Linked DNA regions of Saccharomyces cerevisiae S288C. The protein of the gene in region 1 interacts with the protein of each later gene in a pairwise test. Each region holds a gene or a part of one and is shown on either strand. Other genes may lie near its edges.

The links.
Region 2: the proteins of DAL7 (region 1) and PEX9 interact in a two-hybrid assay, tested with the Saccharomyces cerevisiae proteins (2 studies listed by BioGRID).

What each region holds. Positions count from the first base shown.
Region 1 is NC_001141.2:412,254-416,645, reverse strand, and holds DAL7 (malate synthase DAL7), read left to right. Parts: upstream 1-1,966; coding exon 1,967-3,631; downstream 3,632-4,392. Other genes in the region: MGA2 (Mga2p), read right to left, coding at 1-522; DAL3 (ureidoglycolate hydrolase), read left to right, coding at 1,029-1,616; DCG1 (Dcg1p), read left to right, coding at 3,876-4,392. UniProt on the Saccharomyces cerevisiae protein: Allantoin metabolism-specific malate synthase involved in the recycling the glyoxylate generated during allantoin degradation by the ureidoglycollate (UG) hydrolase reaction.
Region 2 is NC_001145.3:307,957-312,314, forward strand, and holds PEX9 (Pex9p), read left to right. Parts: upstream 1-2,251; coding exon 2,252-3,796; downstream 3,797-4,358. Other genes in the region: SPO20 (Spo20p), read left to right, coding at 1-726; STB4 (Stb4p), read left to right, coding at 4,200-4,358.

The DNA.
Region 1 (4,392 bases):
CAGTTGATTTTCCACTCTAGATACTTGTGGCAAACCTGAGACCTCTACATCCAAAGGTAGCTGCGCTGCGTTCACTTTAAGGTAATCTAAAGGATTTATGTAAACAGATTGAATCGTCTCCTTTCTTCCAAATACAATCTCGTCATGAGCAGGGTTGCCTATATTTTTTTCATTAAAAACCTTATTTTCATGCTCGTCCTCTTCTTCCTCCTTCAAGGCTCTGTTACTTTCCATTTCCTCCTCCAGTGGAGTGGACACGTTTTGGTTGACATGAGTATTGTTACCGATACCTTCGAAAGACAACAGGTTGGGCGAATCACCCTCATCTGTCTTGATAAAATTTTGGAAATTAGCACCCTCATCAATATTAATATGCGCCATGCTATCATCCTGGTACATGGGAGACCCGTTCAGGAGGAAATCGTCCAAGAGCTGTGATTCCATTACGCTATTCGCGTGCAATTGAGATATATGAGGGTCGCTTCCAGGTGTTTCCGTTAAGAACTCACTGTTCTGCTGCATAACGAAATGTTCTGTTCGCCAAAATGACCTTCAATAAGTGCCTTTAAATGCACAATAAGGGGGGGAAGCAGGATCTAGTCTTAACGACCCCAAGAACGACTGTTGATCAAGCGCCGCTGTCCTTTTAAAAGGCTTTCGGCGGCTGTATTTTCTGGTTTAGAGCTCACCCATTTGAAAATGTTGAGTTTTTTGTCATGATCCACGATATAAAAAGAAATACGACATTTCTAGGGTAACATCAGAATGCCCTTGCTTTTATTGTTAGGGTTATTTTCAAAAGTAGAATTTTGGAAATAAGTCCTAGCCTTTTTGTAACACTAACCCTGAGACAAAGTGCCAGATAAGATAAGATGGATTGGCAAATAAATGGGGAAAGATAAGCGAGGTAAGACTGATAAGAAGCATATGCGGTCTATTCATGTGCATTCGCATATATAAGTCAGTAACTGTCATCCAATCGCTCTTGATGCTTATCTTGTAGGGCAAAAAATCTTTGAAGCAAAGATATGGTGACCGTGGTGGCGGAGACATTGACGAAAGAGTCCTTCGAGGAGTATGGGACGATAATTTCGCCAGATGAAGAGATTTCAAGGATGCAAAACCTTGAAAAAGGTGCAAACCAGGGAACAGCGATCAAATTGCTTCAAGTAAGCCAGGTAGAGAATAAATCTACCAGTAAAGTTCCCAATTGGAACCTATTCCGTTGCTTTCCACAGCCGCACCTGAATAGAGTATTCACTCAAGGCTCCAATCAGGCGATTTCTCATTCTATCAAAGTCCTCGAAAAGCATCCGTGTAGTACGCAGACGTTTGTGCCTATGGGGAGAACGTCAGCGGAAGTAGCATACTTGGTAGTAGTCGCTAAAGAAATTGGAAATAAGCCAGACTTGTCTACGTTGAGGGCTTTTACATGTTTGGGTAATCAGGCCGTTACCTATGGCTTAGGTACCTGGCATGCGCCCATGATAGTACTTGGCAAGGAAGAACATTTGGATTTTTCAGTCTTAATCTACGAAAGTCTGGACCCTGACAGGCCCGAGAAGGACTGTGTGGAAGAACACTACAGCGATGGCGACGTTTGTATTATCATCTAATTCTGCGACTGTGGGCGAAGTAAATATGTAAATGTTCATGTATTAGTAATTTCATAGGTTTACGATTATCGACATAAAATCTCCGCTGAAAGTTGCGGTGCGATAGAATACCGCGGATTTTGGAAAATTGCGTTTGCTTTTCTTATCACATAAATTGAATTTCATAAGTTTTGGCTTATCTTGGATAAGGTACATCGTGAAAGTATCACAAAGATTGGATAGTTTCGTCAATTGGTGAAGCAATAAGTATAAAATGGGGACATTTACGCATGTAGTCTTAATTCTTCACTTTCTGTGCAGTTGATATCACTTAGAGTATGTGTCATAGGCACGGTAAAGAGCACTGAACAATGGTGAAGATAAGCTTGGACAACACTGCTCTATACGCAGACATCGACACGACTCCTCAATTTGAACCTTCCAAAACTACTGTAGCTGATATTTTAACAAAAGATGCCTTAGAGTTCATTGTTTTGCTGCATAGAACTTTCAATTCAACACGGAAACAGCTTTTAGCCAACAGAAGCAATTTACAATCAAAGTTAGACTCTGGTGAATACCGATTTGATTTCTTGCCGGAAACCGAACAAATCAGGAACGATCCTACATGGCAAGGTGCTATCCCAGCCCCTGGTTTGATCAACAGATCCAGCGAGATTACTGGGCCACCATTGAGAAATATGTTAGTCAACGCTTTGAATGCTGAAGTAACGACATATATGACTGATTTCGAGGACTCTTCATCTCCAACTTGGGAGAACATGATTTACGGACAAGTTAATCTTTATGATGCCATTAGAAATCAAATCGATTTCAAGACACCAAGAAAGGAGTACAGGTTGAAGGATGACATTTCAAGACTGCCCACTTTAATTGTCAGACCTCGTGGCTGGCACATGGTGGAGAAGCACCTTTACATAGATGATGAACCGATTAGTGCTTCCATCTTCGATTTTGGTTTATATTTTTACCATAACGCTAAAGAGTTAGTTAAAATTGGTAAAGGACCTTATTTTTACTTACCAAAGATGGAGCACCATATGGAGGTAAAACTATGGAATGACATATTCTGTGTTGCACAAGATTTTATTGGAATGCCCCGCGGTACCATTAGGGCCACTGTTCTGATTGAAACTTTGCCAGCGGCCTTCCAAATGGAGGAGATTATCTATCAAATAAGAGAACATTCAAGCGGTTTGAACTGTGGTCGTTGGGACTACATATTTTCGACCATTAAAAAACTGAGAAACTTGCCTGAACACGTTTTGCCAAATAGGGATCTAGTGACTATGACTTCACCTTTTATGGATGCTTATGTGAAAAGATTGATCAATACATGTCACCGTAGAGGGGTCCATGCGATGGGTGGTATGGCTGCCCAAATCCCCATAAAAGATGATCCAAAGGCTAATGAAGCTGCAATGAACAAAGTTCGTAATGACAAAATTAGAGAAATGAAGAATGGGCATGATGGGTCATGGGTAGCACACCCAGCATTGGCACCGATTTGTAATGAAGTTTTCAGTAACATGGGTACAGCAAATCAAATATATTTTGTCCCGGATGTACATGTTACATCATCTGATTTATTGAATACGAAGATTCAAGATGCTCAAGTCACTACTGAGGGAATCAGAGTAAACTTGGATATTGGCCTACAATATATGGAGGCTTGGTTAAGGGGATCTGGTTGTGTCCCAATTAATCATTTGATGGAAGATGCCGCTACTGCGGAAGTATCACGTTGTCAATTGTACCAGTGGGTTAAACATGGTGTTGTCTTAAGTGATACCGGTGACAAAGTAACTCCAGAATTGACCGCTAAGATATTAAATGAAGAGACTGCAAAATTGGCTTCAGCAAGTCCGCTGGGTGAAAAGAACAAGTTTGCCTTGGCAGCCAAGTATTTTTTGCCTGAAGTCACTGGTAAAATCTTTAGCGACTTCTTGACCACTTTATTGTATGATGAAATTATTAAGCCAAGTGCCAAACCAGTTGACTTAAGTAAATTATAGAATGTATACGTACATAACCTGACGAATATTCGAAGAATTTTAGGCGCTGTTTTAACGCATAATCCAATCAAATTTGAGCTGATAAGGCCTGATAAGGTATGACAAATTGAACTCATATTTTTTCTCCATGCCAGATCATATTTAAGCCTTTGAAGCGAGAATATGTAAGGAAACTGAATTACTAATTCTTACCTCAGGAAAATCAAAAGAACAAAGAAAAACTAGCTAAGCAAATTATCGAACGATGGAAACAAGAATACTTGTTGTGAATCCTAATAGTTCGAAGTCAATGACGGTGTCCTTGCGGGAAACCATTGAAAAGACTTTTTCAATGGAATCATGTAAAATCAGTTATTTCACAGGGCCAGACACGTCGCCACCACAAATTGATGGGCAGGAAACAAGTATTAAAAGTATGGAGGCCTGTCTTCCCCTCTTAATTGATGACCAGGAGTCGGTATATTACTTTCAGAAATTCAACGGGATATTAATTGCCTGTTTTTCAGATCATCCTTTGGTAGCAAAGATAAAGGATAGAGCTGCTAAAGAAAAAGCAGATGTTTCTATTGTTGGGTTATTAGATAGTAGTATTAATTATTGCAATTTGGTTGGAAAGAAGTTCTCTATTATTACTTCAAATAAAGAATGGATTCCAATATTGAATAACTCTGTGGAATCGAAATTCTTGACAGGGAATACAGTTAACAAAAATTTATGGAAAGGTACGGTATCTACTGATTTACAGGTCCTCGACCTACATA
Region 2 (4,358 bases), on another chromosome or scaffold:
CAATATAACTTAGAGAATGTCCAGCCTGAGGAGGATGAAATAGTTGATAGACTCAGGTCCGAGATTAGAAGCACTAAATTAAAATCTGTAAAAACGACAAGCAGAACACTTGAAAAAGCTATAGAGGCTCGATGTACTGGAAAGAGAGTTCTTCAACAACTAAGTTGTCAGAGCAACCAACTCACCAAGATCGAGAGCAATTGTGACATGCTTAAAATTCAATCTAACGTAGCCGACCGAAAGATTGACGAACTTGCCCATGAAAATAGAAGCCTGCTTGCATTAAAATCACCCAACCCCTTCAGGAAGAAAAGGGAGAGAGAAAAGCGAGACCAGATCTACAATTTGAAGTTAAAGCATCGTCACTTACAGCAAGAAACTATGAAAAGAGCCCAAGATTCTGACAAAAATTTAGCCATAAATCTAAGTTCTGAATATGGACGGTATGGCCAAGGGGTGGAAAGACAGCGTATTCTTAGAGATGCCCAGAAGTATCAGTTTGAAGCCGATGAAGAAGATAACCAAATGGAAATCGACTTGTACGGAAACCTAGAACAAATAAAAGCGGTGAGTGGTGACTTGAAAATTATGGCTCACGCTTTTGGCAGAGAGTTTGAAGCACAAAACACTAGAATGTTTGACATCGAGAACAATGTACAGCAGGCAGATAATGCTTTACAGGCCAAGCGATATAGATTGGAGAAAGTGATCGGGAAAAGATGGTGATCTGTTATACACACAAAATATCGTGTATAAATATATTGAATAAATAGTTTCTAAAAAGGCATACGCAGATATTCTTGCGAAAGAGAAAAAAAAAAGAGCGAGGGGGACATTAGTACTGAAGGTCTCAATTCTTCTTTGTATTTTCTTTCGGAGTTGTCAGACAAAGCTTTCTCTTTCCCATAAATAAAGTGCATTCAAACATCGGCAGGTTTGTTTTTCCCAGTTGTTACGTATTTGTTTCCCGTTCCATTCATGATCTTAAACTGGGTTAACTGAAAAATCAACATGATTTTGTGAAAAGTAAAAGAGGGTAAGAAAGATAGATACCGCTGTCGTGGGACTATATTTTTTACAGTACCAAGTCTACTTGCTTCTCATAAAGTTGATAAGTTATAATTCATATAATTTCATTTGTCAAAAAAGATTTTAGTTACAAAACGATATCAAAGTTCAATCTTGTTGGGAAAAAGGAAAACATTATGAAGGGTTTCCGGTAATCACTGCGTATGCCACACTATTCCTATAGAATTGTCTTGATTGGGTGCTTATGCTGCGGAAAAATTATATTCTGCGCTTGCCTTTTATATTAAGCGTCACAACGCCCTTACCAAGATCGAGCGGATTAAGACAAGAGTGTATCTCAAGCGTCCGTATATGTTTAAGTTGAAAAGGATATTTAGTAAGAATAATTCTACCCTACAAACGATATTAGTAAAAAAAAAAATCAATAATAGAGTTATTGTACAAACATGTTCTGAAAATTGGAAGCATCACATCGTATGCTACTAGAGAAAATTTTTACTATCCTTTTTTCCACAAGCCCAGCCCTAGCCCGATCATCCTATTAATTGTCAGACCACCGAATGCTATCCCGCCACGGTTGATATAACGAAACTCTTTACTGCTTTGGGTCAAATATGCCTCTTTTCCGCATTTTTTCGGAGTAGTTCATTGCCGCATACATACCGCAACTTGGACGAGGATGTCCTCCTTCTCTTACTTTTTTATTCGTTTCCAATTTGTTTCTCGTACCGTTCAAGTTTCAAGCCTACAAGAAATGTACACGACATGGATGCGTCAGCCTGATTCAGATATGACAAGATTGTTCCTGCGCATATGTGAATATGAGCGCACGCAATACATTGAGATCTTATTTGGGTTTGTAAGTGCAAACTTAATTTACTTTGCTTCCTGCCGGTTTTGATGTGCACCTGGGAACTTAAATAGCCGCCAAAAGAAAAGCAATCAGAGCGGCGCGGCGCAGACAAAACCCGAAGAGTTTCCTGGGAACGGTAGAGGCCTTGGTAGTACCTTACTAACGCCGGAGAGGATGATTGATACGCATTGAAATCGTACAGAAAACTTGGGGCAAAGCGCTCTTACCCCAATATTCTCACCCAAACAGTGGCAATAAATAAAGAAAAGGTCATCACTTTTTTTCGTACTCTTATCCGTTTTATTTTATTTTATTCTTTTTTTTTGAGTGGAGAATCATTAAGAATAAAGGGTACCTTTTGTAAGCACGATGAACGAAGTTACTTGTTCCATAACTGGTGACAACCCAATTCATAAGATCAACAATGGATTAGGCTTGAAATGGAATAATCTGGGTAAATTCTCTGATTTTCAGACTAACGATAGCGCCGCGCGAGATGCTAGAACAATAGATTACATCTTTACCAATTGTCAAACCGGCAGCAGTATTGGTAAGATAGATTTTCGGGCCGCACTACCGGCAGATAAATCTCAACATAGTGGTGTCAGCGAAAAAGAATTTTCAAGACTTGAGAACCAGTGGTCAAAGGAATTCTCTTGTTTCCCCAAGAATAAAAATGCTGATGTGACCAAGCCCAGTAGAAACAAACATGAGAAACGCTCCGCTAATTTGCACAATAGGTACTTTGCACAATATTATAGTACGGCATATCAGCAAAATCGTATATATCCTTGTCGAATATCTTACAATGAACACTCATCTGTTTCTAATGGCTGGGAATTTCAGTTCAAATCAATCGAAAATCAGTTACTAAATGAGCTAAAGATAGAAAACAATGTAGAAGAAAAAACTGTTGGTTATGAATATGTGGCAGAATACGAAGAAACAATTGATTTCATGCATATGCTGTCATCCGTACCACAAACATATCAATTCCTAAAATCAAACATCTACATAACGGAACGGGACCCATATAAAATAGGATGTGTACTAATGGACAACGGTTCCAATTTGAACGAAGTAGTAATGGCCTTTGAAGCAGCCATTTCACAAGATCCAAGCCATATAAATGCATGGTTGAAGTTAGGTATAGTTAATTTTGAAAATGAAAGCGAAAGCAATGGAGAGCTTGCTTTGCGAAATTGCTTAAATTTGGATCCAAATAATACAATTGCATTGGAAAACTTAGCAATTCACCATATAAATCAACAAAATGAATCAGAGTCATTGAAACTTTTTCACAAATGGATTCTTTCAAAATTTTCGAAGGTTTTCCAACCTTCTGCGGGGGAAAACAAAGATAGCATTAATAAAATTCCGAAAAAGGCCCATTTGGCGCATATTCTAGAATCCCTGTTGAATATGGGTATAGAAAAAAAAGATCAGTATGATATATATTCAGTATTATCAATCTTATATTATTCGGATCAGAAAATAAAGCAATCTCAGAAATGCTTAGAGTTTTTACTACTGGAAAAGCCCAATAATGGAACAATATGGAATAGATATGGTGCTATTTTGGCCAATACTAAGTCGTATCACTCTGCGATAAATGCGTACAATAAATGCAAACAACTAAGACCGAATTTTACAAGGGTTCGTTATAATTTAGCGATCGCCTACATGAATAAGGGTGACTATGTAAAAGCAAGCAAAATGCTAATCGAAGTTATACTGTTACGAAGTAAAGGATATGAACACAACAAAGCAAAAATGCAAAACAAATTTATGCAAAATTTAAAAAATGCTCTCATCGCTTCAAAAAATTTTGATTCACTTGATCTAATAAATGGTTCTCATAATACAGAATCGTTAATATCAACCTTAAAAGCTATTTATAACAAAATGGATTAGGTTTTAGTTAATTTTTTTGCTATATAGTGCATTCAAAATAAAAAAAATTAAAGCTGAAACAAACCAAATATGCTATTGGACGTTCGAAAAGCTAATTGCGTAAAGGAACACTAAACACAGCAAGCTTATGCTAGTTCTTCTCAAAAATATAAGTTCCTCTTGCAAGAATATGAAGGTAATTTCACTTTATCGCGCAAGTGCATATTTCTGAGTTTACTATGTGCTTCGTCTGAAACCTCTCATTATCTACTTAATATCGGCTATTCATCTCACGTATTCACGTAATATTTGATTTTTGTACTACTATTTCTCTCTGTCATACGTGCATGATACATTTCCTTGTTCAAATTAAAAGAGTCACCGTCAGCCTCTCAAAACAAAGAAAAAAGATACCCGGCTGAACATGAGTATCAATCATGAAATATATTATATACTTGTATTTGAGCATCGTTCAGTAGCAATCAAGCTCATCATCGTAGTGATTGTTCTCCTTCAGTTTTTTTTAGCACGAAGTCGGCAAATTGATAGGACATGGGCCCATACTAATAGAAAGGAACGGTTC